Mus musculus: one gene and its partners. The protein of the gene in region 7 binds, or shares a complex with, the protein of the main gene of each other region. Links are inferred from orthologs where the notes say so. Each region holds a gene or a part of one and is shown on either strand. Other genes may lie near its edges. The genes, in order: Pigq, Pigh, Pigp, Pigc, Pigyl, Dpm2 and Piga.

Region 1 (3,388 bases), on a different chromosome or scaffold from region 7:
TATTGCATGTGACAGCCATTTTCAGCAGGCTCTCTCTGGGCACAGGGTCACACAGGGCCCTATGGCACTCCCCAGTTGGCTTATACTGATCCTTTGTGGAGTCCCAGGCTAGAAAGCAACTGAGGGACCCTTCTTCATAACCAGGATGACAGGCCTGGAGGCATCTGAAGACTGCAGATGCTAAGAGTCAGTTGAAGATGTGTGGTATTGGCACACTCCTTCAGTCCCAGCACTAGGGAGGCAGAGGCAGGCTGATCTGTGTGTGAGCCAGCCTGGTCTACAGAGTGAGTTCTGGGATAGCCAAGACTACATAGAGAAACTTGTCAGTCCAGGGCAGAGCTCTGCTTTGTTTGGAATCCACATAGTCAAAGCCCAGATTAGACAACCCCAGCCCTTCCAGACTGTATCCCAGCTCCCGGAATCTGGGTGAAACTATGGCCAGAGGCACTGAGGCTCTAGCTCTGTTCACCTATCTATGACGTCTTCAAGTACCTAGGGCTGCAACTCAGCAGAGCCTCTGCAGAGGCCTTAGGCAGGAAATGATGATAGTCACCTGGGGTAACCCAGTGCCCCACCTAGCCCACCCACCTAGAGCCTGGCCAGACGAGCAGGACACCCAAGCTGGTACTCCAGATTCATGAGATTTTTATTGTCATCACAGGATCAGGATTCATCTTCACCAAAACCCTCCACTGGCTGCTTAAGAGTGGCTGTGACCTATAGCAAGAGGAAGCAGGCACAGACAGACCAATGTCAATAGTCCCAAGTGCCCCTGAAAGACAGGCTGGGCCGGCTGTCCCCTCCTGCCCACAGTAGACAATTCAGGCAGTGAGGTTTCCTGCCCCCTAGGGACTAGCTCACATGGGGTCCCACTAAGTGTTAGGGAACCAACCCTGGCCATTTCACCACCCCAAGATCATTCACACAATGAGCCATGAAGTGCCTGTCCAGAAGGAAGCTATCTGGTCCCATAAGGAGTCTATAAGAGAACATAGAATATTTTGCCAAAGGGCCTATTCATACATGGAGCACTAGCCAGGTTGGCAGGTATCCAATCACCTCAGTTGATATAACTTCAAGCAAAGGGTACCCAAAGGCCTATTAACAGCAACTTCACAAAGCAATCTCCAGAGTAGCAAGTAAGCCCAATGAAGTACAGGGTGAGGGATTAGTTCGAGGGGCTAAGGGATCAGCAGCTGCCTGTTTCCCAATGGAAATGTTCTGCGGAGGCTTATGAAGTACACCAGGTGCCCAGGAGTGCTCCCACCCAATAAAGCAGCCAAGAGCACCTGCCAGCATATCCCACGGGGTCCGGGAACTCCTAGGAATCAGGCTCACTGTAATGACTACAAAAACCATGTGGGTCCCTACATAGGTGATACTAGAGCAGTGGTTCTCAACCCTTTGGGGTGGGTGTCATATGACACTTTCACAGGGTTCACCTATGACTGTCAGAAAACACAGATATTTATATTATATCATGATTCATAGCAGTAGCAAAATTAACAGTAATGAAGTAGTAATGAATATAATTTTATGGTTGGGGTCACCACAACATGAGGAACTGTATTAAAGGGTCAGCTTTGGGACGGTTGAGAACCACTGTGCTAGATAGAGTGCAGGACTGAAGCTGGCAGGGTCCGAGAGCAAAGTAGTAACTCAAGGGTAAGGCCTGCCTACATTCAGCACACAGAGTGTTTGGTTGGCCCTTGTGGGACCTGAGATGACCCCGTGGTCAGTGCTGTCCTGGCAGAGAGGAGGCGTGATGGTTGTGCAGTAGCTATGGGTAGGCTGTGTCCAGCTCCTCAGTCCTGTTTGTCCTCTCTCTGCCTCCAGGGGTAGATGAGCTCTCCGAAGACCAGCTTTCGGCACAGGGTACCCCAGGAGTGCTTGGGATGGCAGCCACAGCGAGGCAGACGGTAGATGTGCATCACATGGTTATAGGACAGGGGGTTTATCTGCAAGGGCAGGGGAGATATCAGTAGGGTAGTGGTCCTGGGTGCTTCAGCTGTGTCTACAGAAGAAGCTCTTGAGGGCTGGCACCCTGGGCCTGACTGGCTCTCTAGAGAATCTTTAGCAAGACAAATGTAGGGCAAACCCAGACAAATGTTTGCCTATGGAATAGCCATGCTATCTATCCTTAGAGAAGCAACCATATAGCACTTTGGTCCCCTAAGGAGGGAATGATGGCAGGGGAGTTCAGTGTCTGCCCTATCCTAGAATCTATTCTGTTTCTAGGCTTCTGGGAGGAGGAAGAAGAGGAGGAGGAGGAGGAGGAGGAGGAGGAGGAGGAGGAGGAGGAGGAAGAGGAGGAGGAGGAGGAGGAGGAGGAGGAGGAGGAAGAGGAGGAAGAGGAGGAAGAGGAGGAAGAGGAGGAAGAGGGGGAGGAGGAGGAAGAAGAGGAGGAGGAGGAGGAAGAAGAAGAGGAAGAGGAGGAGGAGGAAGAGGAGGAGGAGGAAGAGGAGGAGGAGATCATGCCAGATGCTTCTGCATCTAAGAGTCTTGGACTTGGACCAAGGTACAACTCAATACCTGGCAAGTCACCCCAAAACATGTTCTGCTCCCTTCACGGGGACTGGAATCTGTGACTGAAAGAGTCAAGGGTTCAAGACCAACAGGAAATGACTACTTGTCATGAGGCCTTTGTAAAGTCATTTCTGTTTTATCACAATCTTGAGCACTATGGGACTCAGGGCAGCTTCATGATGTCTCTAGCCAAGTATGGGCACTCCACCCACAGGCTGGACTAGATATCAACTATGTAGATCACAATAAGTAGCCATAACTCTGCTGGGGAGGCTCCAGACAGTGAGTTATAGTGCTCAGATGCCAGGGAACCTATCCCTTAGCTCCACTGGGTCCTTCTACCTCTATGTGACCTCTGGCTGCTCTAACACCACAGTATCACACCAGCTGTCCCAGGACACTGGGGAGTCTGATGGAAGGTGGGGATCCCGGGTCCGAGTAGCAGTGAAGCATAGAGAGTTCTTACCTGCATCAGGAGGCGGAGGGGTCTGCCTGCCTCCTTTTCCAGAACTCTGAACTTCACACCAGCTATAGGAAAGCAAAGGATTTAGGAAGGAAGGTGGCAATACCCAATCAGCTTTCACTGGTCCCACAGAACGCTATGGGTCAGCAGAGGCTGCTGTAGATGGCAATTTCGGATGCTTCTAGCCCCTTTGAGCACACCCAGGAGGCAGCAGACCTGCCTGGGAACACAGGGTTCTCTCCTCCTCTACTTTCCCAGCTGCCTCTATGCTGGGTGGCAGATGCCCTGTTAATAGTTCAGTGCCCTACAGCTTCTGTGTCTGTGACTTAGGAACCCATAGCACCCCTGGCCTGTATTTTGAGTTCCAGGTCTAGGAAATGCCCAGGAAGGTTCCTTTTT
Region 2 (4,473 bases), on a different chromosome or scaffold from region 7:
CAGATGATTATTTCTGGCTGGTAAGCAGGAGTGAGAACAGGGCCTCTGATGACCCAGAAACAGCTACTTTCTGCTAATTAACTTCAGGTGCAGGGTGGTGTCTTGCAAGCAGTGCAAACTAAATAAGCACCGTGGAAGAAAGCCAAGGTAAAACTCAGCCCTCTACAGGTTGCAAGAATGATTAAAAAACAAAAGTCTAGAATACTGTGTTACTGACTTTAAAGTGTCAGAGGGAGGAGAAAGAGAAGAGGAAGGGGGGAAGGAAGGAAAAAATGATGGAGAGGGAAAAAGAAGAGAGGGAGACAGAGAGATAGATCAATGCACACAGCTGTTCCATAAAGACTTCCAAGGCCTCAGGACCCAGGTGGTGCAGAGAAGTAGTGCATGCTGACAGGTGCACTCTGCTGAAAGGGTACTGCACTGCAGATTGGAGTGATGTTAACTAAACCGATCAAAAGCAGGGGATGACAGGCTGAAGAACAATGAATGCTTAGGGAATGTTACCCACTCAGCCTCTGTTAAGATAATCTGCCTCAAAGTCCATTTTCCTGGCCAAAATTCTAAGGATGCACACCGCTCATCTGAGTCAGGGTTGAGCCACACATCTGAAGGAGTCCTTTGAGAGTTCTTTCCATGAATGAGTTTGAATAGGAGCAGAGATCTGAACTCTTGCACACAGAGGCCTCGGGAAGTCTTGAAGTAATGGAAGAGAGCACAATTACTTGTGCATTTGGGGGACATTTGGGTGTCCATGCCAGAGAGATGAGTGCAGTAGGGAACTGACAGAACAGCTCTGAGCTGGGTGTGGTTCACTCACCTGTCAGCCCAGGCCTTCACAGGGGCTGAACCAGGACGAAGCAGAGTGTGTGGACAGCCTAAACTACATAGCAAGACCCTGTATCTCTGAACAAACCAACCAGTAACAATTGCAACTGCCTGAGATCTGCGAGGCCAAAGTACAATGGAAAGGGATTTCAAAGTCAGGCAGCTCCAGTTTGGAAGCCCAGCTTTGTCACTTTATCAATGTCAAGGTTATTAAAGTATTACTCTTTATGAACCCCCCCGGGGGGTTGAAATAAGAAATTCAGCAGATAACTGCACGGGTATCAGGAACATAGGCTGGCATTAACATTCAACTGGGCATGGTGATGTATCCCTTTAACAACAGCACTTGTGAGGCAGTGACAGGTGAATCTCTGAGTTACAGGCCAGCCTGGTTTATACAGTGAGTTCAAGAACAGCCAAGGCTACATGGTAAGACCCCAACACTCCCCATCCCCCCAAAAAAGAATAAAAATCCAATTATATTAAAAATTTTGGGGAAGGACTAGGTCAGTTTAATAACTTCAACTGACCTGTGAAGACACTTTTAAATATAAATTGGTAAAGATTAGGAGTCTTTTAAAAAATACTATTTGTGTTGTGTTTGAGGCAGGGTTTCACTGTGTAGCCTTGGTTTGTTCTGGAGCTGGTAATGTAGACTGATGTAGCCAGGCTGGCCTTGAATTCAGAGATGTTCCTTCCTCTGTTTCCCTAGTGCTGGGATTAAAGGTGTGCACCACCACACCAGCCCCTACTATTTATATTTATTTATTGTGCAGAGGTCAGAGGACAATTTTTTTGAATCCATTCTTCCCTCCCATCATGTGGGTTCTGGGGATTCGGCTTAGGTGGTCAGGTTTGGCATTAGGTGGTCAGGTTTGGCATTAGGTGGTCAGGTTTGGCAGTCGCTGCAGTCATCTGATGAGCCATTCATTCCCCAGACCCTCAGTGAGGGGACTTAACTTCATCTATGAAAATCTGTGCAAATTATGATGCTCTGCCACACACTTTGATAGCATAAATGTGATTGAACCAGGTATGATGACACACACCTTTGATCCTAACCCTAGGGAGGCAGAGGCAGGCTCCACATAGAGCCTTCCAGTCCAGACAAAGTAAGAATAATAATAATAGCAAAAGAATAGAAAAAAGCTAAGGGATGTTTTAATACAAACAATATGAAAATTGCAGAAATAAACAGTTCTGGTGTACTGGCTCTATTAAGATCACTCCTGGAATAATATATTCATTTTAGGGCTATACAGGGAGTTAAAACAGAACAGAACATCCTGAACAAAGGCCAATCGGATGACTCTTTTTGCTTGGGAACTGTCACAAAATAATAGCAGTTGACCTTCGCAATATTTTGAACCATTAATTTCAACTTAGAGATGTTAAAAATGAGGCTCGGGGGGAAAAAAGATTAGAAAGTCTGAAAACTGAGCATAGAAAACCCTCGTGTCTTAGACCTGGCAACACTTTAGAAAATGCACTTAAACTGGGGAAGGGTTGGGAGAGGGGATGGTAGTTGACCTGGCCTTGAGAAACAGATATTAGGTGGAGATTCTGTACTGCACAGTTGTGGAGGCAAAAACTTTTCTGTAATTCTGTCGCACGCCTGCTATCCGTTGGCTTTGGTACCCAGTAAGTGATGCGGGAGGATGCACTGAGTTCTCTGAGGAGGTTATGTTCCATGAATGAGCAGGGCAAGTAGGTCCACTGTGGTAGAACGTCCAGAAGCACAAACTTCTCGGGGAGGGAGGGCAGTCCTGCCGTGGAACGGCGACCCTGATCCAGGGAGTCCCCACCCTCCCGGACCCACGGGTCAGCCCCGAGACCTCTCCAAGCTGCCTGCGCCGGCCGAGCGCCCGCCTTTACCTCGCACAGGGTGAAGAGCCCGTAGGCCGCCAGCCACACCGCGCAGGTGACCGCGGTGAGCGAGCACAGCGACAGCCGAGCCGAGCTGAGGCCGAACTCGCGGCAGTACGGTGAGTAGTAGCGGCACCGCAGGGCTAGGCGGCCGCCGCAGATATCGGAGAAGCTCTTCTCGTCCTCCATGGCCGCACACACCTGAATGTCGCGCCGCTCTAGCCCACCCGGAGGCTCGAAGTCTCGTTGGCTCCCGACCATCCCGGAAGCGGCTGAGCCCTGCCTGTCCGCGCAGCCGTAGTCGCTCACTGAGAGCAGGGCTGGGACTTGCAGCAAGTTCTCCCAGTTTATCCTTAGCCCAAACTCCCCAGAACCGCGGCACCAGTTTTGGGCAGATTAAGATCTCTGTTCATTTGACTGACTCATTTATATTGTTACGCCAGAAAGACTCCCCCAAAATGGTCTGCAGGTGTAACCATTCATTCATTCATTCATTCATTTCCCTGCGAAGGGATTTTAGGTACTGAAGATTTCTGTCTCTACATAGCTTCTTTCCTAGTAGGAAAAAAAAAAAAAAATAGACGTAACTTAAGTAGTGTTATTGACAAAAATGTTCAGACTAGTAGAAGGTCTGGGCAGCTTTAAGTAAAGGTCTTAAAGGTCTTCGCCATTAAACCTACAAGGGCCACACTGTTCTGTGGGGAGTTGGGGTGGAGGTGGGGGTAGTCTCCAGAAAGAAGGACCAGGAAAAAACAAAGTTGGAGGCTGGAATGGGTTTCAGTCACAGGAATCAAAAAACTAGCAAGGCTAGGATGCATGGGAAGAGAAGGTAGGCTTTGAGTTGGGCAGATGGCTCAGCTGCTAAAGAGTATATTAATCCAAAAAAAAAAAAAAAACGAGAGGAGAAAGACCGCCACCCAAATCATCATGACCAAATTAATTAAAGCAAGCTTTAAAAATTCACATACACGGGCTGCCTCCTCCTGAGATGGGGTTCAGCTTTGGATGTGAAGGCAGGCTTTTATAGCTCAGGGATAGGAAGGTTTCCAAATGAGGGGTTTGTCTGTCAAAATATAGTTATAGGAGCAGCACACAAGCATAGCAAGTAAGTCCCTCTGGAACAGAGACACAAGGTTGCAAAGATGGGCCTAACAAGGTAGCTATATAACCCTTTGAAGCAAAGGTCAGGTTGCAAGATGACTATAAACAACTTTTTGAAACAAAGACGTGATTGCATTCTTGGAACAAGCAGTACAGAACCATTTGTAGTTAAGGTCACAGGTGGGGCATAGCTCAATCCTTGAAAAACAGGTTTACTCATAAACAAGAATGAACCTAGATTGTCTTCACTGTAAGATGACTTTCAAGCCTAATATGGAAGCAGGCTGGTTCTTCAAGTACTTATCACTAGGGAAAGGTAACTGGGGGAGCCACTAATAGATGCTGTTTGCCAACCATATATTTGCATGGATGGAGCACTACTGTGGCAGTGCACAGACAATCATACTTCTGATGATGTAATTATTTCCACTGTTTTGAATTTATTCTTAGAACTTGAGTCACTATAAATATGAATAATGGAGAAACAAATGTAATTGAATAATCCCACTGAGGACTCCACAGGCTCAGGCTGGGCTCTTCAAAGCTTTTCTGTGGAGCTCTTGCTTTAGGATTTGCTTACACTTGGATTTCGTAGTTCTAAGACTACTGTGTTATGAGCCTCCCAGGGGCCCTGCAGGGAAAGCAACCAGCCTCCGAGGCTGACGACTTCAGTTCGAGTCA
Region 3 (4,355 bases), on a different chromosome or scaffold from region 7:
GTTTTACCTCCCCATTGAAGAAATATTAAACTTACTTTTGAGGCCAGTAAGTTAAGCCTAAGGAGTTTAACCAAGATTCGGGAACGAAAGCCCACACAAGATAAAGTACTGCAGGGTAGAGGGTAAGGGGAGAGAGAAGACATGTTAGTGAGGCATGGTCTAGTCTGTAAGGTTCATATACAATAAAGATGCTCCCCAAAGGCCTGCCTCACTCTCTCAAAATTCAGGATCTGTAGCTCCTTATTTGTACCAGTCTTAGAATACTTACCATAATTACCATATTAACACGTTTTTAGTGTCTTAGCTTTTATACTGTACTTTAAAAAGTCTAAGGCTACCACCCAGCACTCCCAGAGACTAAACCACCAACAGAGAGTTTACATGGAGGGATCCATGGGTCCAGATAAGTATCCTGCAGAGATTGGCCTTATCCGACATGATTAGGAGGGAAGGTCCTTGGTCCTGTGGAGGCTTGATGCCCCAGCATAGGGGGATGCTAGAGTGGTGAGGCAGGAGTGGGTGAGTGGGTGGGGGAGCACCCTCATAGAGGCAAAGGGGAGGGGAGAGAGGAGGGATGGGATGGGGGATTTGTGGAGGGGTAACGGGGAAGGGGGATATCATTTGAATTGTAAGCAAATTTAATGATAATTTAAAAAAAGTCTATGGACATATTTCTTAGGAACTTATTGCTAGAATTTGCTCCTGCATTTTACATGCTCATTGTTTCTCCATAGGGAAGAAGTAATTACTTAAGAAGTAGTTGCTTAAAGGGAACTTGTCACCTCTGGTTCTGACTGTCTATGTACAATCTTCTTTCTACCAATACCCAGTCTTGTAGGCTCCTTTTCTGCTGTCTCCGTGTTTTAACAATAGATTCTAAACTTCTCCACATGGACTAACTCGTTTAATCCTCAAAACAGTCCTGAGACGCACATGTATATTTTTATACACAAGAAAGGACTCATTTGTACAAAGGAAGTGGTGGAGACAGGTTTCAGGCTACATCAGCAGTGGTGGGTTTTGTCTTAAGAATGAAGTGTTACAGAGCTTTGTATGCCAAGACTGGAATACAGTAACTCCTGAAGAGATGGTTTGTGCTTTCTGTAAGCTTCTGGTGCCGAACAAAGATGCTTACAGAGATCTTTTCCTTTCTGCATGGTAAGTTGTAGTATTAAAAGATAGCACACAGCAGCACAGCACATGAGGAGGGCTCTTCCTGCTCCTTAATCTCCTCCACCCTATCCCTGTTTTGCTTCCTGGATATGTTTTACTTATCTGTCGTCTCCAAGTATGCAGAAAGCTCAAATGAAGGCAGACAAGGTTTGGTTATTTTACCTTTCCCTGGCCTCTAACACTGTCTGATACATAGTAAGTGCTCAGTAAATTCTTCAATTAGGTTTTGGTTTATCTAACATGCTTGTAGATTCCAATCCTTAAAATCCTCTTTGAATAGTAATTTATAGAAATAAAGGGCAGCTAATGTTTATTAAGCAGCTTCTTTGCATAAATTACCCAAGTTAATACAAGAGTCAAAGGACTTCAGTAGAGTGAAGTCTGCCAGTATACCTGTTCTAATTCCAGTCCTGTTGCTATTTGGCTTTGATCAAGTTACTTAAATTCAGTATTCCCATCTTTAAACTGAGGAAGCAAGGCAGCACCTACTTCACAGGTTCACTTCATGCAAAACACAAAGCTCTCAGGCCAAACAATGATTCCACGAAAGAGCCAGTAACTGTAGCTTCTTCATCCCACTACACTACAGCTAAGCTAGTACTTTTCACTTAAGAATTGGGAAGGATACCTCCACATAGACATTCTGATTTCTATCAAGGACCAGGTTGGATTGTGGGCATTCAATTTTCTACCACTTGATTGCCTCATATCTTCCAAACTATTTGAAGAGGGACTTTGGTTCTGTTTGTTGAGTTGGTCATATTAAGTTTGTTTTTGTTCTTTGTTTTTGTTTTGTTTTGTTTTGTAAGCCTCAGTGGCCTCATCTACAAAATGGAACATTGTGGGCATTAATGCAGATCCCAGACGTTAAGGGTACATTCTTACACCTGACTTCTCTGGCCCATTATCTTCACTCTTCAGCTACAGCATGCTATCCTGGAGCTATAAGCATCTCACTTCCAAACCTTCACAGGCCTTCACTCAGAGACTCTATCCATGGTCCTTCCTGACTTATTCTGATAGAACTGCCAGGGAGTGGCCTGGAGGTAGCTAACCCCAATTTCTAAACCTTCCAAGGCTCTTCCAGGGCACTCATCATGCTCTCTGAACTGTGGGTTTACTATGCTTCTCCACATGACTATGACCTCAAGGATTGGGGCCAGGTTTTATTCACATTAGCATCAAGCCTAGTGCTAAATAAATATTGGAGAGTTCATCTAGAACTGCATACATAAACTGAGCAAACAAACGGTACCCCTTTTAGGACTCGTGAAGAGACACAGGTAGAAAGAATCAACAGTTCATGTGTGTACGTTCTAAGGACAAACACATTATTTCCTGGTTCTCAATACCATTAAGGGCCTTGGCCATCCATCATTCCAGTACTTACTGAAGCCAAATTGTGAGCTTAGGAAAAGAACAAAGCCATAAATCGCTCTTTCTGGCAATGGCGACGGTGAATTTTCCACCATCTTCCCTGTGGCTTTAGACAATCTGTGGAAAAGGAACACAATCGTCGTCAGACATCTCCCCCCGCCCCCCTTCACCAATGGTCTGTTACATAATCTCATCGCTTGCTGCGGACACAGCCACTGCGGATGTTCGCGCGCGCGCGCCACTGCAGCTGAGGGGGCGGCGGGAGCGCGCGCTGCGGGGAAAATGCGCACCTCGGACCCTCTGAGGCGAGGAAGGGGCCCGGGCTGGACAGAGGCCCCGAGTCCTGCCCTCTCATGATGGGCCCTGTCCCAGCCTTCGTGAGGCTCAGAGGAAACAGGAGGCCCGGGACCTTGAGTCCTGCGAGCACCGACGCCCACCCGTCCCCACCCTTCAGCCCCACTCAGTCCAATGCGCAGGCGCGGCTCAGCTACCCCCGCAGCGTGGGCGGAAATTAAAAAAAAAAAAAAACCTGAGGAAAAGCAGAGGCTGGCAGGCGCCCCCGCCGCTTGGCGCAGGCGCACCGCGACCGCAGCGAGGGGGCTAGCACGGTCTCACCACCCACCCCACCGAGCTGAGGGGGCGACGCGGCGACTGCGCATGCGCACCCTAAGCCACGTGACCCGCCCGCCTCAGGAGCCGCGGAGCGTTCGCTCTGCGGGTCTGGTTGACGTGGAGGGCCGGAGGCGTCGGCAGCCCGCGTCTGAGGCTCGCGGGCTGCGGGCCCGGGTGAGTGCAGACCCTGCGCGCGGCGGGGCTCACGGAAGCGTCTGCGCGTCCCGCCGCAGCCGAGATGCCCGGGCATCGGGGCGCTCCACACCTCCCTCCGTGGGTGTGTGGTGAGTGTGGGTGTGCGCGTCGCCGCGCGTCTCGCCGAGCGCCCGCGCGCTGAGGGGGTGTGGCCGCCCTTGCCCTTGTGGGTGTGTTCCCTTTGTCCAGTGACCCTCGGGCGTCCTTAACGGTAGAAGGGGGGTCTTTTGTGTGCGCGTCGCCTGGCGTGCGGGTGACATCCCGGGTCAGGTACCCGTTCCCGCGTTCCGAGCGCTCGGGGACGCGCCTCTGGGTCTGCGGCTGGCCCGCTTTGTTCCTACGCTCTCCCTTCCCTACGACGGCGTGGGCGTCCTTCTCATCCTCTGAGGATGGTGGTTCCCCTCCCACCTTTGTCACTGCCTTCCCTGTGGTGTGCGCGCCCCCTCCTCAGCACCCGCGCGCGCCCGCCCACCCGCCGCTGCGGCAGGCTGCAGTGGCAGGCGCGCGCGTGCGTCCTCGAGGGTCCCCAAAGGTGCGCTGTGTAGGGGCCCTGTGGCGTGCGCGGGGTTGGAATTGCGGTGACGCGCGTGCGCGCTGCCCCTGGTCTGTGTGTGCGCGCCTCTCCCCCCCACCCCCACCCCCGTTTCTGGGAGGACCCGGGAGGGACGCAGAGCTGCCCCCCACCCCACCTCCCCACCTGCAGCCTTTTCCTACGCCTGCGCAGGGCTGCTGCTCCGCAGTGCTGGCGACGTCACTGAGGCCTGGGCTGCCATCTCCTATTGGGGAGGGGACAGACTAGGGGGGTGGGGGGACAAAGGACCAAAATGAAGCCGAGGGTGTGTCGGTACCACTGCACGGTACCTTTCTCAGAAGCTTGTAGTTTCCAGACGTCCTTCAGTTTGCAAATTCTTTCCACCGTTTGTGCTTGTGCCTCTCACCAGGCGATGGCTAACACTGGGTATTGCAGGGTGTTTATAGCAGCCTTTTAAAGCTCTGGA
Region 4 (4,490 bases), on a different chromosome or scaffold from region 7:
AGCCTCTTTCATATCGCTAACGTTTTGTTTCTATGGCATGTAGCTCTCCTTGAGTGACCACTTCTGTGGTATTGGACAACAAACTGGATGCCACCATCAGGGATTCTCAAATTTGGGCTCTAGATATATAAAGGTGTCCCTTAGTATACACAGAAAAGGCTAAACAACTGATTACACTTTTACACACACACACACACCTTCATACTACTTTTGTCTTATGCTCTCATAAAAATGAGACAGGGCCAGTGTGATGGCTCAGCTGGTAAAGGCCTGTTGCCAGGGCCTGAATTTGATGCGTGGGACATACATACTGGAAATAGACAAACCCCCTCTCTTATACACACATAAATAAGGGTTTCCTTGTTTTGTTTTTTTTAAAATACTAGACAATGCAATGGATATTACTTTTTTAATAAGCAGAACCCACATTACATCATTTGTTACAGGGAATAAAGGACAATAATTCATAACAGCACCAGAAAGCTTTTTCAGTCACAAAATAACTGAAGGACAAGCACCCTCCCCTAAGCCCTTGGTTAAATGCTTTCTTCTGATCTCAGCTCTACCATCTAGATCAGTCGGCTGCTTCAAGAGTGGACCCCTGCCTTTAAATGTTGCACCGGTTAGGCTCGAAGTCTTTCCGCTGGTCTTAATAATGAAATGAAGGTCCCTAGATTAGCTAAGGAACCTAGACAAGTCTTCCTTGATTTCAGCTTCATCCCAAGGCCCGTGAATATTTTCCTTAAAAAGCTGCAGATGAATGAGGTAGTAAGGGCAGAGACAGGAGATGGAAAACAGCAGGAGAGCAAAGAGTATGGCTCCCACAGCACTAATGGACAGAAGACCTCCAAAGGCAGAAAAGGCAAAAAGCAAAGTGACCCCTACATAGCTTCGCGGGGTGTACGCCTTCAGTTTCTTCTGTAACATGGGCCACAGTGCAAAGATCTGGATAGCAAACGTCACCATAATGAAGGCGTGGAGTGACCGGGGGAGGCGTGAGGCCAGGCAAACAGAAGCAAAGATGGCCATGTTCAAGGACAGGGTGCTGGATACAATAGCAGCATTGGCACCGTAATCAAAGAAGATGAGATGGCCTAACAGCATAAAGACTGCCATGGCGTAGATAGTGTCTGTACTGACAGACTCCGTCAGGGTCTTTAGCACAGGTGAAAAACCGTAAGTGAAAGTGATAAAGACCAGAGTACTCTTCAGGTCGGCCCACCGGGTCCGCCCACTCTTCTTCCGTCCATCACCTCCATCGATAAGATCGAATAAAACATACCCAACCAAGGAAGATGCCAGTCCGGTCCCAAAAAGCCACTGGGGAGCCAGAAGACCCTCATCCATGTACCACCAGATCACTACAAAAACACAGACACTGCACAGCTGCTGTATCACCACACTGGACTCAAATACCACAGCCCAGTACTGGTACTTCCGGGCATAGATGTTTTTCCGGAGTTCTTCCAGGAACCTCTGGTCAACATAGTTATCAGGGAACGGCTGCCGCTCATATAAAACCTTCTGCCACTTGACTTCTGGGGTGTCTGTTACACGTTGAGCACACATTATCTCATTCTTTCCTCAAATCCAGGTTGGCTCAATCTCCCTCAGGGACGTCCATGGGGTTCTGGTTCTTGATAAATCTGTAGATTAAGAACTCTCTGGAAATGCCATGCTGATACCCTACAGAACTTTCCTTGTTTACAAAGCCTTCAGTACAAGCTGAGCCTGCATTAGATGAGTTTGTCCTGAGGGTCAGGACAACACAGCTAAATTCCTAGAAGAGAGAACTGTAAATATATGGAAGCTGGCATCAGATACAATAAAAAACAACTTGGCTTACTGAAAGCCTAGATAAATTGTGTCTGGTGACATAATGCGGCATTAAGCCTTCACATTTTAAAGTGTAGTCTTAATAATTGATATCTGCATCTAACTCAGAATGTTAAATGTCTTATGCACCTTCTTTAACTGTCACAGCCTTACAAGTTAATACCAGTTATGAGTTTACCTAATAAGACATCTGAGTTTCAAAACAGTAGAGTATTTAGGTCCCAGGCTAACAGCGTGGAGCCAGACCTCCTACAAAAGTCTAGTGTCAAAGTCTCTGCTTCTGGTCGTCCTTCTCTAAGCCAGTCTTAACTTGGGCATTCATACACTCTAAGGTTTATACTATTTTTGCATGATTATATTTGCAACTTACGCAAATTTATAGGGACAGAATCCATCCATAGCCGTTACTAGGTCCCCAAAGGTATCTGAATAAGTTATCGGTCGAATGACAATAACCTGCACCGTACAAAAGGGCATGATCTCTCTATAGTTTTAGCCCAAACCAAGAACTCAAATCTTTTTTGTTCATTAGCTGAACTTACTATCCTTTAAAGTGCTATATCATCCTAATTAACTGAAACAGCAAAACTCTAGCGCAGGATCAAGAAAACAATCATCCCAGTCGTAAACACAGAGGTCATTCAGCAAATTCGAGAAAGAACTTCCTGCCGGACCGTCTGTATTTTTCGTGGAGGCTAGGATAGACCTTTGCTTTAAAAGCCGTACACCCTGGAGTCGGCCCTCACGCACTGGGACCTCGGGATTTGAAAGGTCCCCGTCACCGGGCGGCGAAGGGTCTTGGGCTACCACTCACCCAACCGGCCTGCCCCGCCCGCCGCTGCCGACCCCCGCCCCAGCCTTGGATCAGCCGGAAGCGCTCACAGCGAAGGACGCCGGAACCCACCTGCACCAAGCTCTTTAGGGGGGTGCACGACCGAGAAGAGCGGCCGCCTAGCTACTTCTACATCCGGGACGCCGGCTTGGAAGGGGACTACTGTGGAGGAGCACTTCCGGATCCGCAGCACTCGGCGGCCAAAGCGTCCCGCCCCGAGACTCCACACCGCGAGGTCACTGCTGCCCTCTACTGATTGCTCCTCTCCTGGCAATCTGCTCCTAGTGGAATGCTAAGCCTGGGAAGCAAATCCCTCAGTGGGAATTACTTCACAGGGTGTGGAAGGCAGGAGAAGGCAGGAAGAGTCGCGGGGCTGGTGGAAGACTGGTAACTGCAAGGTTACCATGACATGTGTTGACAGGCTCTCAGCCAAGGGACTTTCCATGCATCCAAACCCTCCTCCTATAGGTGCCAAACCAGGCTTCTGGTATTCACCAAAAAAAAAAAAAAAAAAAAAAAAAAAAAAAAAAAAGGGGGGGGGAGTCGGGGAGATCCCAGATCTCACATAGCATCCTGTGCGTTGACTTGCACAGAGACGATGCGATCATTAGTTTGTTTTTGACCAAAGTCAGGCAGCTGGTTAGTAATTGCAAGTAGATCAGAAATATCCAAATGTGGATGGCTCCAAAGCTGGATCCTTTCCTAGACTTTGCCACCTAAAAGAGATGAGGGTGGAGAGCCTTTGGGACGAGAGATTGCTGATTTTCAACTGGGGTCTTGGAAGTGTCACAGGATTTATAAATAGATGGAAGCTCGAAGAATTTAAAATATAGAGACTGTTAAATAGTGTGGACACAGAGGCAGAAAGCATGAACCCATTTATTCATATTCACACTATCTGGGCTTTGAATTCTTTGTCTGTAAAAGAAAGAAGGCGCTTATTTGTTCTTGGCCACCTTATGGAATGGTTGGAGGACTCTCGTGTTAAAATAGTTTGCAATGTATTGATTGCTGTGTGGTTGCTGTTAGCTTACTTTGCTTATTGTAATACCAGCACTGGTCAAGTATTTTAACTTTTTTTTAATATTTTGTTTTTAATTATGTCTACATATGTGCTCCTGACTCCAGGTGTCTGTGGAGGTCAGAAGAAGGTGCTAGGTCCCCTGCCGCTATAGTTACAGGCAGTCATGAGCTGGCTTGTGGGTGCTGTCAACTAAACCTGGCTTTTCTCCAAGAGGAAGGAGTGCTGTTAGCCACCAAGGCATCTCTCTGGCCCTGTGACTCCCTTTAAGATTTAGTCTTCGGAAGTGTGATAAACTCTGCAACCTGATCTCTTTCCATTTCTCTCTCTGTAGGCTTTTGTTCCAAAGTTTGACAAGATTCCTTGGCTGAGTGAGGCCAGCCTGGTAAACAAACCATTGATCCTGAGCATCCCCAGAAGGTAACTTCCCAGCTTCTGAGGACAGAGCCTTCGAGGCAGAGCTCAGTGGTTGTACTCTTAAGGTGGAGAGGTGCATGTGCCCTGTTGAGAAACCAAGTCGAATGCAAAAAAAAGAAAAAGAAAAAGAAAAAAGAAAGAAACGCCCTGGGTTTCTCAGACAAAGGTTATGCTATGTAAAGGCCTGGCTAGAAGAAATGAGAGCCGCCATAACCTTCATTTCTGCGTGTACTATTCAACCACAGACACTGTAACTCAAAACACTTCCATAGTTTCCCCCCACCCCGCTTCAATTTCTAGTCTTCGAATTCTAATTATCAATAACCTAGAACTATAACACGCCATCTTTATAGAGTAGCAATAGCTGTATTTCACGTGGGGCCT
Region 5 (3,556 bases), on a different chromosome or scaffold from region 7:
GTGCTGTCATCATCCTGTCTGTTGTGACCCCCCCCACCCCCCTTCTCCCTCATCCTCTATCTCCTGTCTTTGGCTCTTATTCCCTGCCCTTTGAACTTTGGGGCAAAACCCCTCTACGCTAAGAACTTGGTCTTGGGTATCTTGCGCCAATACTGGCCTTTTCACAGGCGTGTGTAGTGAGTGCCTTTACCTCTTGAACTATCTTGCTGGCTATTTTTTGTTCCGATTTTAAATTTTTAAATTAAAAAATGTTTGTTACTTGCTCTGTGTAAACCATAGGATGGTTTGTCCTCAGCTCTCTCCTGCCACCTTGTGGTTGCAACAGAAGCTGCACGGACTCTATACCACTACTTACCTCTGAGAAGAAAAACTTTCTGATCTTTTAGCTTGCGGGAAGATTAAGGGATGGAGCTTCCTGTGCAGTACTGTGCAGAATCCTAGCTCAGCCTCATTTTTCTTTACGCTGGGATCAGAGATAACACTGCCTCACTAGGCAAGGCAGTGGCCGGCCCCGTGGACAGCATTTACGAACACCGTCCCTCCCCCCAACCCCAAGGCACACACACTCATCGTCTTACTATGTAGTCCGGATGACCTGGAACTTGCTATGTAGACCAGGCTGGTCTCGAACTCACAGAAATCCGCTAGCTTTTGCCTAAGGAGTGCTAGGATTAGGAGTGTGCTTGGCTACATTTTCTCTTAAAACTTCATTTTGCACTTTTTGCGGGAGTACACTCAGGTGTGCCACAATACATGTGTGGAGGTCAGAGGAAAATAGTTCTCCACCATGTGGGTACCGGAAGGTCGATCTCAGGTAGTCTGACCTGGCAGGAAACGCCTATACTCGCTGAGCCATCTCATCAGCACAAACTATTATTTTGCCATTTACCGATTCATACGTAAAATAATGTATCAGTCATCTTTCCGCTGCTTAAGAGGATAGATGATAGTGGCTGAGGCCAGGTGCGATTCAGGATTCAAGTTTATCAATTAGAAGTGGGGAAGGCAGCCGGGCATGGTGGTGCACGCCTTTAACCCCAGCAGAGGCAGAGGCAAGTGGATTTCTGAGTTCGAGGCCAGCCTGTTCTACAGAGTGAGTTCCAGGACAGCCAGGGCTGTCTCGAAAAACCAAAAAAAAAAAGTGGGGAAGGCTTTTCAGTGCAGAAAGACCCCACTGTCTGCTCTGGAGCGCCATGAATAAACTGTGGCAAATACGTTCCTCTCCTACTTCCAGCAGGACTAGCATAGGGGACGCCCAGCCAGAGACGATGGGATCCTTAGCTATCCGGTGCTCTCAGAGTCTTTCTGGCCTCACCCGTCAATCAAGACCACGGGGGCGGAGCCTGAGCCTGGGAGCGAAGGCAAGGTGAACTGTCCAATGAGCACGCGCGGACCGGCTCCATCGCGGGATCTGGGTTCCTCACCCCGCCCCTGCAGGGATTTGATTGGGCGGCTGGCCGGGCTGTCCCGCCTTCGTGGGGCGGTGACTGTCACCGCCAGGCGCCGAAGGGACCGGACTCCTACAGGCCTGCAAACGGTGAGTTGAGGGTCTCGAAATACGAGCGGAGGAGCTGTTGAAACCGGCTGGGGCGGGACTCGCGCCAGCTTGGCGTCTGCGCCATGGACGCCGCCGACTCCGTTTGTCTGGCTGGTTCGTTTTCGGTTCGGCCGGGTTCCCCCTGTCCTGTCTTGCCCCGCTCGGCTCGGCTCGGTTTTCTTCGGCTCGGCTCGGCTCGGCTCGGCTCTGTCCCTCCGTCGGTCAGAGACTGCAGCGGGCTCGTTGCCCCTTCTGGTCCCCGAGGCGACTGCGCCCAAGGGATGGCGCTGTCTTCGGTCTGTGCATTGACCGCGGGTGGCTCGTGACCTGGCCCCAGGTTCTGGTGCTGGTTCCCAGCCAGTCCTCGTATAGAAAGCCTCACTCAGATGTCTGAAGCGAACCCGGATTTGTAGGTCGCATTCCGCTTCCCCAGTTCACAAAAACATTATCAGTCCACCTGTCCTTCATTCTGTTTTTCAAATTGCTTACTTCCCAAAGTAATTCATGACACTTGTAGTGTTTTAAGCATGGTCTGGCAGCCGTTCTTTTGTCACTGCCTCCTCAATACTGATACCTCTGATGGGGGTCACTATAGGCAGTTTTGGAGGACACTCCTTTTTTTAAAGGCTTCTTTCTAGCCGGATGTGGTGGCTTGGGGAGGCTGATGCAGGAGGATCACAACGTTCGAGGCCAGCCTGCCGGTTCCAGCAATCCTGTCTCTAACCTACTCAGTGCTGGTACTGGCTGCTTCCCCATCCTTTCCTCTCCCTTCCCGTCGCCTGCCCTTCATCTTGTCATCTTGCATTTTTCTCATACAGTTAAAAGACCTCTCGCCTGCGCTGCGAGGGACACAGGTGGTGTCTGCAGTCGCTGGTAACCGCTGCGTGTGACGCGGAGGCTGAGGAGCCGGCACCTTCGGCCTGGGACCCCTGGACTTTCTGCGTGCCCTTGGGAAGCATGCCTGGGTGAATGAGGAGTCGGGACAAGGGGAAGATAAGACAAGAGCGCACCCGCACGAGAACAGAACTTTTCAAACAACTGAGTTTTCTTGAGACAGTTAACCTTTTAAGAAGGGAGGAAGATGATCCGGTCCCTGCCCACCATGACCGTCCTCATCCCACTGGTCTCGCTGGCAGGCCTGCTCTACTCCGCCTCCGTGGAGGAAGGCTTCCCAGAGGGCTGCACCAGCGCCAGCAGCCTGTGCTTCTACAGCTTGCTCTTGCCGGTCACCGTGCCTGTGTACGTGTTCTTCCATCTGTGGACATGGATGGGCCTGAAGCTCTTCAGACATAACTAGGGGAGCCGAGGCCCCTCCTGCTCGGGCTGCCTGCGGAGTGGGGCATGGCCGGAGGTTCCTGGCTGTTGCAGATTCTTTTGTAGCTGAAAAATACTTTTCAATAAAATGTCTTATGGGAGAGGAACACGACCAGCCTTCATCCAAAGACTGTTTCTTCTAAGATTTGTTCTTAATTGTGTGTCTGTGTGTGGGTATGCGCATGTGAGTGTGGGTGCCCAAGGAGGCCATGCAAGTGATGGGTCCCTGGAGTTGGGGGTACAGGCAGTTGTAGGCTACCGGAGCTGTGTTCAGATCATCCATAAAGGATGCGAGTTCATGTTCTTAGCCCCTGAGCCATCTCTCTGCCCGCCTATTGCCTTCTCATTTAGTTCTGGGGAACCTCAAGCTGTGAGAGGCAGACCTTGTCCTCCTTACCTTCCTGTCTCTACCTCCTGAGTGCTAAACTTATAGGCAAGAGCTCCACATCCATTCATGTGGTGCTGGAGGAACCCAGGGTTTCAGGAACGCCAAGCCAGCACTCTGCCAACCAAGCACCCAGGCCCTAAGGACTGTCTTTTTTTTAGCCCATTCATTTAAAAGTTAGTTGTTTGGAAGCCAGGCAGTGGTGACACACACACTTGGGAGGCAGAGGTGGATCTCTTGAGGGTCCAGGCCAGCATAGTGAGACTGTCAAAAATAATTTGGGATTTTGTTTCCGCTTCAAGGTCAATGGTGAAGTGTTA
Region 6 (4,596 bases), on a different chromosome or scaffold from region 7:
CCTCCTGCGCTCAGTGATCCCCACGGGTGCCCAGAGCACCTGGACTTCAAATTCTATATACAAAGATAGAGGATATATTAGAGGTATTTTTGAAAAGGAATTGGTCTATGCAATGCCAGTTTGGGACCTGTAAGACAGTTTAATGTTTCTATTAGAGAGATATAAAAGATCTGCAATATTTTTAGGGTTCTTTTCTGGTTACCCTACAGCTGACCACGTGGTCTGGCAGGATGAGCAGGCCCATCTTCTTCTGTGGGGAGAATTTGCTTTTGTGTTATTCCTTTCTAACCAGGTTACCACTGCACCCCATTCCGTGGGCTGTTCATATCTGTCTCAGCTTATAATAGAAAATTATGTCATATGGGGAAATCAGCCTAGTGTCAATGTTTGGTTTGGGGGTGGAATTAAATGCCGATGTTTTTGTTACTGCTTTTTGTTGGTGTTTCTTTTCATTCTCATCACCGTGTTGACTTGGGGGCTGCTAACAGGAGTTAGCCATGTATGTGTAAGATGACATGCTGGGGAAAGTAGGTTAGTGTTCTCCAGTCTGACCCCAGTCATAATGCTCACCACAAACACACACATACATATTACATATATGTCCACACATGTTTGTATGAATATGAATGGGCACTTGACAAAGGTCGGAGAACACCTGTTACTCCTGAACCTCTTCTTGTTTGAGACGGTGTCTCACTCTGGTTTTGGGGAAAGAATAAAACGTTTTTATTTGGTATTTATAAGGTTTCCTTTAGCCATGAGGTTTAAGGAGACCTACTACTCCTCATGCCTCCAGAGTGTTGGGACTACAGAAATGCACCACCATGCCCAGCATCAATTCGGGGATCTTAAAGCCCCACTTTTGGTCCTAATCATCGAAGAAACTGGTTAAAAATACCTGTCAGGGCACAAAGAGGGAGCTGTTGCCTCTGGTTGCAGAAATGGATAACCTGCATGGTGTAGCATTTGGAGAAGAATGGATCTACAGCAGCTAGCCCCATATGCCATGAGAGTAGTGTTCTGGGTGAGAAACAGAAGAAAAGCATGAAAGATAATTTGGCCCAGCGCCCCTTGGTTCTAAGAGGGCCATTCTGAAACCTCTGGCAGTGGACAATGAAGGGAAGCCTAGAAAGTTCCCTAGGAAGCCAACCAGTGGAAATTCTCATAGGCCAGGCCAGTGGTGGTCATTCTATACAGACTCTTCCATTAACAGTTTCAAGGCCAGAATGTAGAGCCTTTGAATTCTGATGTCTGCTTCAACAACCAACTCATTATGATCTATCCCTTTCCGGGACTTCCAACTCTGGGGTACATCTCACTCTGGCTTGGGACTGTAGGATAATGTTTAAATGATTATTGTTTGGGAAGGGTCTGACAGGGATGTAGCCACAAAAACCTGAAAGTCTGAGCTCCCGGCCCTACAGTTCCCTGCAGAAACTACATTTCCCGACATGCACTGGAGGGCGGGGAAAAGTGCCCGCACGTCAGCTCAGACGAGTCTCCGCGTGTCACGTGATTTACAAGCCGGAAAGGCCTAAACCAGGAACCGGATGTATTTTGTTGCTCCGGCGGAACGCTGGAGAGATGGTGAGCCTGGGGTGGAGTACATGTGTGATTTGAGGGTACCAGGGGTCGGGGCTCTGAGTAAGAGTCTCCTTGGGAGATGGAGTTGGGCTCTCCAAACCCAGATCGCTCTCTCCACCGCTTGCAGACAGGTGACACGAGGCCTGACGTGGCTTTCTAAACCCGAGAGCCACTTCTAGTAAGCCCTCCGTGGTTCTAAATGAATGAGAGGTTTGGAGTGTAAACCGGCTGCTCCGACCCTCCGTTAGTGCTTGTACACGAGCCATCTCGCCTGCTGAGCCTTTATTTTTCTCCAGGCCACCGGGACAGACCAAGCAGTAGGATTTGGCCTTGTCGCCGTTAGCTTGATCATCTTCACCTACTACACCACTTGGGTGATTCTCTTGGTATGTGTGCCCCACCCCCACCCCGCTCACCTTCATTTTGCTCTGGATCTCTAAGCCAGTTTCCTAACGCGACTTAATCAGCGTCTGTGTGCCAGCGTCTGGATGTTTAGCTAGCTCTAATCTCACGAAATCTACACTATGGTGCTTGCAGATGGTGTCTACATTTTATAGATGAGGAGGCTAAGACTCGGGGAGAAGGCTGTTTCTCAGCCTCTGAACTGCCGCACAGTGAGGCTTTATTTTGTGTTTGTCCTCCTGGTTAGCCAGCAGGTTCCTGGGTGTAGCAGTCGCCGGTGGAGTTTATTAACATCTCAAGTCTCTCTCTCTCTCTCTCTCTCTCTCTCTCTCTCTCTGCCTCTCTCTTTAATGTGGGAAATTTTGTTAGTTATTGTTTTAAAGTACACTGTGCTTGGAAAGGGGCATCTTGCAGTACTTGGTATCCTTCAGAGAGGAAAGTTAGGTGGGCTGACCTTCGGTGATGAAGAGAACTGGCTGATTCTCCAGAGGACTGGGGTTCAAGTTCCAGCACCCACATGGCCAGCTACAACCATCTGTAACTCCAGCTCCAGGAGACCCAGCAAAAGTCCCTGGAACGGAACGCCATTGCTGCTTAAGTTGTGTTAGGAGTTAGATTGGAGATCCAGGGCTTGGATGAAAGTACACCTGGACTCACAGGCACAAATGCATGATCAAAAAATAAAGACCTCTTTAAAAGACCTAGAGTTCTCAGAAGGCAGAAGAAGGGGGGAGGGCAGCTTGGTGAGGTCAGCCAGGGCCTCAGAAATCAAAAAGGATGGTTTCCAGCACTCACAAGGCCCAGGCAGTATTCAACAATACAGAGACAATATGGTGGGTCTCTTGTTATGATACATATCCACGCTTGGGGATGCTATCAAGGTGGGCCCTCAGTATCCAGTGCTGCCAGGGGGAGGTGGGACGGCTTCCCTTTGGGGCTGAGTAAGGTGAGCAGTACTCACCAGAGCTCTTGCCCTTGGTGCCAGCCATTCATTGACAGCCAGCATGTCATCCACAAATACTTCCTGCCCCGCGCCTACGCCGTCCTCCTCCCGTTGGCCGCAGGCCTCCTGCTGCTCCTATTTGTGGGTAAGTCTCCCGATCTGGGGCAGGGTGTCTGGAAGGCAGCGTGCTTCCACATGCTGGCACCTGCTGTACATCTGCTTAGACTCTCCTTGTCACCAATGCTCCCCGGGGCTTTCCTATTCCTTAAAGGCCACGGGCAGAAGCTCCTCTAGTGGTGTTCCCAGTTTTCAGGTTCCTGGGGCAATGAGGACATGGCTCCCCTTTCTTTCCTGTCTCAGCTTCATCTTCATCTCTTCAATGTTCCTGCCTCAAGTCACCCTGGCATCTCTTACGGCTCTGTGGGTTGGGAACTGTGTCTTTGCTGTTACGCTATTCTAAGCTCTAGCCCAGGAGCCTAAAAGAGTGCTTGGGTTGACTGAGGAACCACATGGCCGGATGATGCACAGGTGGTTAGCCTTGCACCATTTTGGTGATAGTTAACTGACCCTCAGTGGCTGTGTGACCTAGTGAATGACTGCAAAGATGCACCCCTAGGGGGGTTGGTTGGGAGCCTGACCTTGCATGCCTGGCCACCTAGCTTCCACTCCAATCCTCCCAGTCCCTCCTATTCTGTGTATTACAGGATTGTTCATCACCTATGTGATGCTGAAGAGCCAGAAGATAACCAAGAAGGCTCAGTGAAGGTCCAGCAGGGATGAGGCTGTAGGGGCCTTCTCCATATCTCCTCCAGAAAAGGGACCAAGGGTCACAGCTTACAAGATGGTCAAGCTGGCTGCACTGCAGCCCTCTTTGGGACATGGGGCTGTTTTCTTCTCAGTTTGACAACCTGGAGCCCTCTCTCTCTTGGTCATCCTTTTAGAAGCCAAGAGAAAGGTGGGTTGGGAAGCCTCTCACTTCCCTTAGGCTCAGAGGCTGAACATTGCTGGTTGGTCCTGTCCATCTCACAGTCAAAGCTCCCTGTCCCTTCCACCGAGTTCTCTCCTCTCACCTCTGTGCTCCTCCCACTGTGCTGATGGATTGAGCAGGCCTTCCCGCCTCTCTGTACAAGTCCTGTCCCGTCACAAGGCAGCTCTTCCGAGTCTGACACTTCCCAGGCTCCATGAGGACTTCTGGACCCAGGAAGCCCTGGGGAAAGACTGACAAACCCCAGAACCACAGGGTTACATCCAGGCAGCCACACTAGACCACAATTGGCCTGTTTGGGAAAACTTACAAATAAATGTTAATTGCGTTGGTGTTTGTCTCTCTGCCATCCTTGCTCTGGGGAAACTGGCTAGAGGAGGCTCAGATGCTACTGAGTTGTGCAATGAGGGCACCTCAGGTTGTACATTTGCGATGTCCCTATGTCAGACACAGGGTAAAACTGGAACTGGGATAGATATGATTCTTACTCGGGAAATGTCACAGCGGAGAATCAGAAGCCTGGCGCATCTGCTAAGGCCTAGTGTAGCCCAGTCTGACATTAAACTACATAGCTGAGGGTGGCCTTGAACTTCTGATCTTTTTGACTCTATATCCCCAAGGTTAAGATACCACATGTCATGAGGGCTTTATGCCTGCTAGGCAAGCACTCTTCCTAAGATAT
Region 7 (4,352 bases):
GTGACAGTTATGACCTTGTGCCCTCTCTCAATGAGGCACTGAGAGAGCTGGTAAATGTGGCTTTCCACGCCTCCCATGTTTGGGTAGAAAAAGTCTGACACCATGCATATATTATGGGTGCAGGTCCTATCGTCGGAAAGGTTTCCAGAGCTACCCGGGGAAGGCGACACTGAAGGAGGCTGGCCTTGCCCACCTCCTCTTCTATTGGCCATGCTGAGGTGGTCCAAGCATCAGTTCTCAGAGCAAGCCAGTTAAGAAATGTGTCTTCTGTCACCTGAAAGAGAAAAGCAGGACATCAGCTCAAAACTGCATCTCCTTTCATACCTCAAATCCTGTTAGAAATAGTTTTAATGTTAAGGCATATTTTTAAAGTTTTTCACTTAGAAATAAAAGCAAAGCACACTATAAACGTATTCATTTGAGAACATCTACTTGCTTAGCAGGGTGATGCCATAGGACAAAAGAACTGAGATTCTGCAATGTGTTAACTGAGCTGGGAAACTGGTCCACTTTTAAACGTTGTGTCACAGTGCATAATGGTTTGCTACAAAACCAATTCTTTCAAAAAATTAAACATCCATTTCCCTGCTTCTCTTATCACTCTTATCAGCTTATTAAGCTTTCTTACCTATTAAATCACTATCTATCCAACACTACACAGACTAAGAGTTTTCTATATGTGGCCATAGTCTAGTTGACAGACCTATACAAGGTATCAATTATATAGTGTAAATGCAAAGCCAAAAGCTTAAAGAAGTTAGAACACAATGTGCCAGGCTATTAGCGACCATACCTTCCCACATACTTTTAAAGCCAAGTTTTAGCTTATAGCTCATGCTGACCTTGAATTCAATATTCCTGGCCTCAGTCTCCTGAGGGCTGGGATTACAGGTGTGCACCACTGCACCTAGGAATCTCCCTTGCACTGGGACCATGTAAGCCACAGGACATGGTAAAAGGGACATGCAGATCTTTGACCTCAGCCTATGAAAGGTTCGATGGCTTTTACTTCTGGAGTTATCATACAGCTACTAGGTTAGAAGGACATGGGGGAGACAATGAGAGGAAAAGGGCTTACAAGCTACATGGAGAGATAGGGACCCAGCCACCTCTACATTCTTACCTGCGCCCAATTTCTAGCCAGACCTCTAGCTAAATGCAGCCTTCTACAGAAACCCCTGAAAAGACTCATAAAAGTACCACTAGCTAAGTCTAGCAGATTCCAGAGTCATGAAAAATAGCAAAAAGGCTGTTTTATAGCACTGCCTTTTGTTCTGGGTTGTGAAGCAGAAAAGGATACTAAAACAGGCTAGGATGTGAATCTAAGTATACTGGCACATTGTCTATTTTTACGAACAAATTTTTACAGGAACCTGGCTTGCCCATTCACTTATATTCTGAATGGCTACTTCTGTGGCTTTGAAAGAAATCAGATGACCCACAGAGCCTAAAATATTTACCATCTGGTTCTTCACAGAAAATGTGCTGATTAGGGCTGCACAGCTTAGCTAGTGACCCAGTACATCCCATAAGGCTCTGCTGGTATTATCTCTGTGGTTTCCTTTAAAATGTACCTGGAACTAGAGCTTTCTTTTTAAGAACACCCTCTTCAAGTGTTCCCTAGAGCTCATGCTGAAGACAATCTGGCTTCTCCTTCCTTATTCAAGGATAGCTATGCTTAAACTGCTCCCTTCTCTTTTCAGAACCCTTCTTTTAATTATGGAAGCCTTTCCCCTGAGCACCCTTTCAGTGTAGACCCTGAAAGGAAATGGAACAGGACACAGGCTTTACATGTGGGCTCTTTCCTACATCTAAGGCTAAGAAAAGTTCCCTTTAGGAGTTCCCTAAAGTGATGCTCATATGAAGTGCTCATTCAATACTCTGTTCTATAGATGCTTAGACTTTTAATGCCACAGCTTTAGAGATCTGGCAAAAATCCGCCTTAGTTGAGATCTACAAGTCTACAAAGAACTCAATGGAGGATTACTATCCTAACTCTCTGAGTTTCAGCTCTCACCTGCAACTACATGTGTCCATTTTCTCCCACAAATTCACCTACATTTAAAATCGTCTCAGAAATTCAGAGGGAGGAGGCAGGAAAGAAAGGAGCACGTGCTTGGGAGACAGAGAATTGAGGGTTCTAGGGCAGGGTAAGACAGCTACATGGGGGCACCCGGACACATAAACTGGAAAAAAAGAGGAGGGAAGACCAAATTTACAACCAGTAAGTAAACAAATAATGGAAGCAAGAAAATATGAAGTTTGCAAAAGGGGAAAGCAAAGCCTCAAGTGGCTAATGCTGTGCTACTGTCATGTGTCATCTAAACCTGGTCCTTTAGTCCTATCCCGTTTTAAGAAGTGAATGATAAGAACAGAAATAATGAACCAAATGAAAGTATGTGAAAATACTCACTGAATCTTGGCTTCTATAAGTGAATAGAGGCTGTAAAATCTGGTCAATTCTCTCTCCAGCCCTACATGCTAAGCGATCTGTACAACTTCCCTACCCAAGCCATGTAAATGACAAAGTCAAGAAGTCCTCAAAATTCTCAATCGTGCCCAGGGAACTCCCTTATTAGTAGAAGCTTCTGAGGATCCTTAGAGGGGGCTCGGACAGGGCTGAGAAATCAAGAGAAGTATACTTTAATCCAGTCCCAAGGCAGTGCACACGCACTCCCTGAGAGGCAGCTCGGGTGTACTAGAGCCAAAGAGGATCAGCCCGGGTCCACCAGCCAGCACCCCAGGATGAGACAAGATCCGGCCAGACCCAAAGGGACTCGGAAAAACGTCCTAAGATTCCAGTCACTCGCTCTACTAAACTCAGTCTAAGAACCAGTTCCAACCCTCAAGGCACCCTCAATCCCCATTTGATTACGGAGACCCACGGACCCGACTTCCGGGCCTCAGATAGAGTAGGCTTCACCTCCTCCACAGCCTGCCACGGTCCTGTGAGAACGGCACAACCCCATCCAGAGAGACCGAGAACGTTAGAAAGGACAGCCAAGACGCGTACTTACCCTCCAGTCCCATGGCCGCCACTGTCCGGACCTCCCGCGGCAGTTAACAGAATCCCGCCCCGCTGCTCCAAAGCACCAATCAGAAGCGTCCGCGATCCGAGCGCCGCGCCCCCATGATAACCAATCACACAGAGGTTCTGAATTACGTAGAAGAGAGACGCCCAGTCGGGCCCAAGTCTCTAGCGCGGGATTGTAGCGTCAGCGAGCGCAGGAGCACGTCTCCTAAGAGCTGCGGAAGGTCCCGGGCGTAAGTGCCCTGGTTGCTTAGTTACTGCGTCTCTTTTCAGGAAGCCCGGTCTCTCCCCGCCTCCTTCCGGTTAGAGAGACCAGGCGGGGCCGGGCCGGGCCGGGGGCTGGGGGGAGGAGCGGGAATGCGGGGAGGGCGGGGATAAGAGGAAGGGCAGGGTAGGGGGCGGGGAAATCAAGGCCAGGGCGTTTCTAGTCAGTATGGTACCACAGCCAAACCAACCACATCCATTCTTGTTATTCTGGCAGGATTGCTAAATGTGATGCATAAAAGTACAAAAATAAAGAAAAATCACAGCAAGTCAAAACTAAACTCTGAACTTTGAATCTTAGATCTACATATCTGTGCGTGTCCTAAAGACTGAGGACTTTCCTTTTAAAAGTTCAGATTTTGTTTTTGTCTTACAACTCTATGGGGGGGGGGGGGTGTCAGGGAATCTTAGGTATAACCTGAAACGCTCCCGCTCAAGCTGCTGCAGTCCTCAGCCAAAACTGTCTTGCGGTCTGGAGCCAGATTGTGCTTGGCCAAGAAGACAGAATCTCTCGATTGTTGTAATAGTCACCTGCTCTTTATAGTTGGTACCTGCAGATTCCCCAGCATGGCCATTCCTGCATTTTCTAGAATAAATTGTTTTCTAAGCAACAACACCATCACCATGACTGGCATCCACTTGAAGCTTGTGGTAAAGTTAAGGGTATTTTCTAAAACAAAACAAAAAGTTGTGCCAGGTGTGGTGGCGCACGCCTTTAATCCCAGCACTTGGGAGGCAGAGGCAGGCAGATTTTTGAGTTCGAGGCCAGCCTGGTCTACAGAATGAGTTCCAGGGCAGCCAGGGCTACACAGAGAACCTGTCTGGAAAAACAAAACAAAACAAAAAAGTTGTAGCAGATTTGAACTGTAGTATTCTGCCTGAACGACCACAAAGCATGCCTTCAAAGACTCTCAACCAGTGTGTCAGGACCCCTTTGAGGTATCCTGTATAGGAGGTATTTACATGACGATTCATAATAGTAGCAAAATTACAGTTATGAAGTAGCAAAGAAAATAATTTTATGGTTGTGGGTCATCACACCACAGCATTAGGAAGG

What was found.
Region 1: Piga (region 7) and Pigq share a complex: the UniProt entries of both Homo sapiens proteins name them as parts of the glycosylphosphatidylinositol-N-acetylglucosaminyltransferase (GPI-GnT) complex. The link is inferred for Mus musculus from reciprocal best matches to the Homo sapiens genes PIGA and PIGQ.
Region 2: Piga (region 7) and Pigh share a complex: the UniProt entries of both Homo sapiens proteins name them as parts of the glycosylphosphatidylinositol-N-acetylglucosaminyltransferase (GPI-GnT) complex. The link is inferred for Mus musculus from reciprocal best matches to the Homo sapiens genes PIGA and PIGH.
Region 3: Piga (region 7) and Pigp share a complex: the UniProt entries of both Homo sapiens proteins name them as parts of the glycosylphosphatidylinositol-N-acetylglucosaminyltransferase (GPI-GnT) complex. The link is inferred for Mus musculus from reciprocal best matches to the Homo sapiens genes PIGA and PIGP.
Region 4: Piga (region 7) and Pigc share a complex: the UniProt entries of both Homo sapiens proteins name them as parts of the glycosylphosphatidylinositol-N-acetylglucosaminyltransferase (GPI-GnT) complex. The link is inferred for Mus musculus from reciprocal best matches to the Homo sapiens genes PIGA and PIGC.
Region 5: Piga (region 7) and Pigyl share a complex: the UniProt entries of both Homo sapiens proteins name them as parts of the glycosylphosphatidylinositol-N-acetylglucosaminyltransferase (GPI-GnT) complex. The link is inferred for Mus musculus from reciprocal best matches to the Homo sapiens genes PIGA and PIGY.
Region 6: Piga (region 7) and Dpm2 share a complex: the UniProt entries of both Homo sapiens proteins name them as parts of the glycosylphosphatidylinositol-N-acetylglucosaminyltransferase (GPI-GnT) complex. The link is inferred for Mus musculus from reciprocal best matches to the Homo sapiens genes PIGA and DPM2.

What each region holds. Positions count from the first base shown.
Region 1 is NC_000083.6:25,925,799-25,929,186, forward strand, and holds the end of Pigq (phosphatidylinositol N-acetylglucosaminyltransferase subunit Q), read right to left. Parts: intron 3,055-3,388; coding exon 2,993-3,054; intron 1,959-2,992; coding exon 1,806-1,958; 3' UTR 622-1,805; downstream 1-621. UniProt on the Homo sapiens protein: Part of the glycosylphosphatidylinositol-N-acetylglucosaminyltransferase (GPI-GnT) complex that catalyzes the transfer of N-acetylglucosamine from UDP-N-acetylglucosamine to phosphatidylinositol and participates in the first step of GPI biosynthesis.
Region 2 is NC_000078.6:79,086,740-79,091,212, forward strand, and holds the start of Pigh (phosphatidylinositol N-acetylglucosaminyltransferase subunit H), read right to left. Parts: upstream 2,881-4,473; coding exon 2,701-2,880; exon of another isoform or gene 1,966-2,700; intron 1-1,965. UniProt on the Homo sapiens protein: Part of the glycosylphosphatidylinositol-N-acetylglucosaminyltransferase (GPI-GnT) complex that catalyzes the transfer of N-acetylglucosamine from UDP-N-acetylglucosamine to phosphatidylinositol and participates in the first step of GPI biosynthesis.
Region 3 is NC_000082.6:94,367,526-94,371,880, forward strand, and holds the start of Pigp (phosphatidylinositol N-acetylglucosaminyltransferase subunit P), read right to left. Parts: upstream 3,026-4,355; 5' UTR 2,906-3,025; coding exon 2,841-2,905; intron 2,806-2,840; exon of another isoform or gene 2,745-2,805; coding exon of another isoform or gene 2,668-2,744; coding exon 2,564-2,667; intron 109-2,563; coding exon 36-108; intron 1-35. Other genes in the region: E3 ubiquitin-protein ligase TTC3, read left to right, coding at 3,401-3,446. UniProt on the Homo sapiens protein: Part of the glycosylphosphatidylinositol-N-acetylglucosaminyltransferase (GPI-GnT) complex that catalyzes the transfer of N-acetylglucosamine from UDP-N-acetylglucosamine to phosphatidylinositol and participates in the first step of GPI biosynthesis.
Region 4 is NC_000067.6:161,967,530-161,972,019, reverse strand, and holds the start of Pigc (phosphatidylinositol N-acetylglucosaminyltransferase subunit C), read right to left. Parts: upstream 2,833-4,490; 5' UTR 2,741-2,832; exon of another isoform or gene 2,651-2,740; intron 1,794-2,650; exon of another isoform or gene 1,781-1,793; 5' UTR 1,570-1,780; coding exon 676-1,569; 3' UTR 1-675. Other genes in the region: 4930558K02Rik (uncharacterized protein C1orf105 homolog), read left to right, coding at 4,024-4,109. UniProt on the Homo sapiens protein: Part of the glycosylphosphatidylinositol-N-acetylglucosaminyltransferase (GPI-GnT) complex that catalyzes the transfer of N-acetylglucosamine from UDP-N-acetylglucosamine to phosphatidylinositol and participates in the first step of GPI biosynthesis.
Region 5 is NC_000075.6:22,155,377-22,158,932, forward strand, and holds Pigyl (phosphatidylinositol N-acetylglucosaminyltransferase subunit Y precursor), read left to right. Parts: upstream 1-1,469; 5' UTR 1,470-1,537; intron 1,538-2,355; 5' UTR 2,356-2,618; coding exon 2,619-2,834; 3' UTR 2,835-2,979; downstream 2,980-3,556. UniProt on the Homo sapiens protein: Part of the glycosylphosphatidylinositol-N-acetylglucosaminyltransferase (GPI-GnT) complex that catalyzes the transfer of N-acetylglucosamine from UDP-N-acetylglucosamine to phosphatidylinositol and participates in the first step of GPI biosynthesis.
Region 6 is NC_000068.7:32,569,326-32,573,921, forward strand, and holds Dpm2 (dolichol phosphate-mannose biosynthesis regulatory protein), read left to right. Parts: upstream 1-1,532; 5' UTR 1,533-1,584; coding exon 1,585-1,587; intron 1,588-1,880; coding exon 1,881-1,970; intron 1,971-2,971; coding exon 2,972-3,074; intron 3,075-3,633; coding exon 3,634-3,692; 3' UTR 3,693-4,246; downstream 4,247-4,596. UniProt on the Homo sapiens protein: Regulates the biosynthesis of dolichol phosphate-mannose. Regulatory subunit of the dolichol-phosphate mannose (DPM) synthase complex; essential for the ER localization and stable expression of DPM1.
Region 7 is NC_000086.7:164,418,506-164,422,857, reverse strand, and holds the start of Piga (N-acetylglucosaminyl-phosphatidylinositol biosynthetic protein), read right to left. Parts: upstream 3,079-4,352; 5' UTR 3,018-3,078; intron 2,991-3,017; exon of another isoform or gene 2,924-2,990; intron 275-2,923; 5' UTR 213-274; coding exon 1-212. UniProt on the Homo sapiens protein: Catalytic subunit of the glycosylphosphatidylinositol-N-acetylglucosaminyltransferase (GPI-GnT) complex that catalyzes the transfer of N-acetylglucosamine from UDP-N-acetylglucosamine to phosphatidylinositol and participates in the first step of GPI biosynthesis.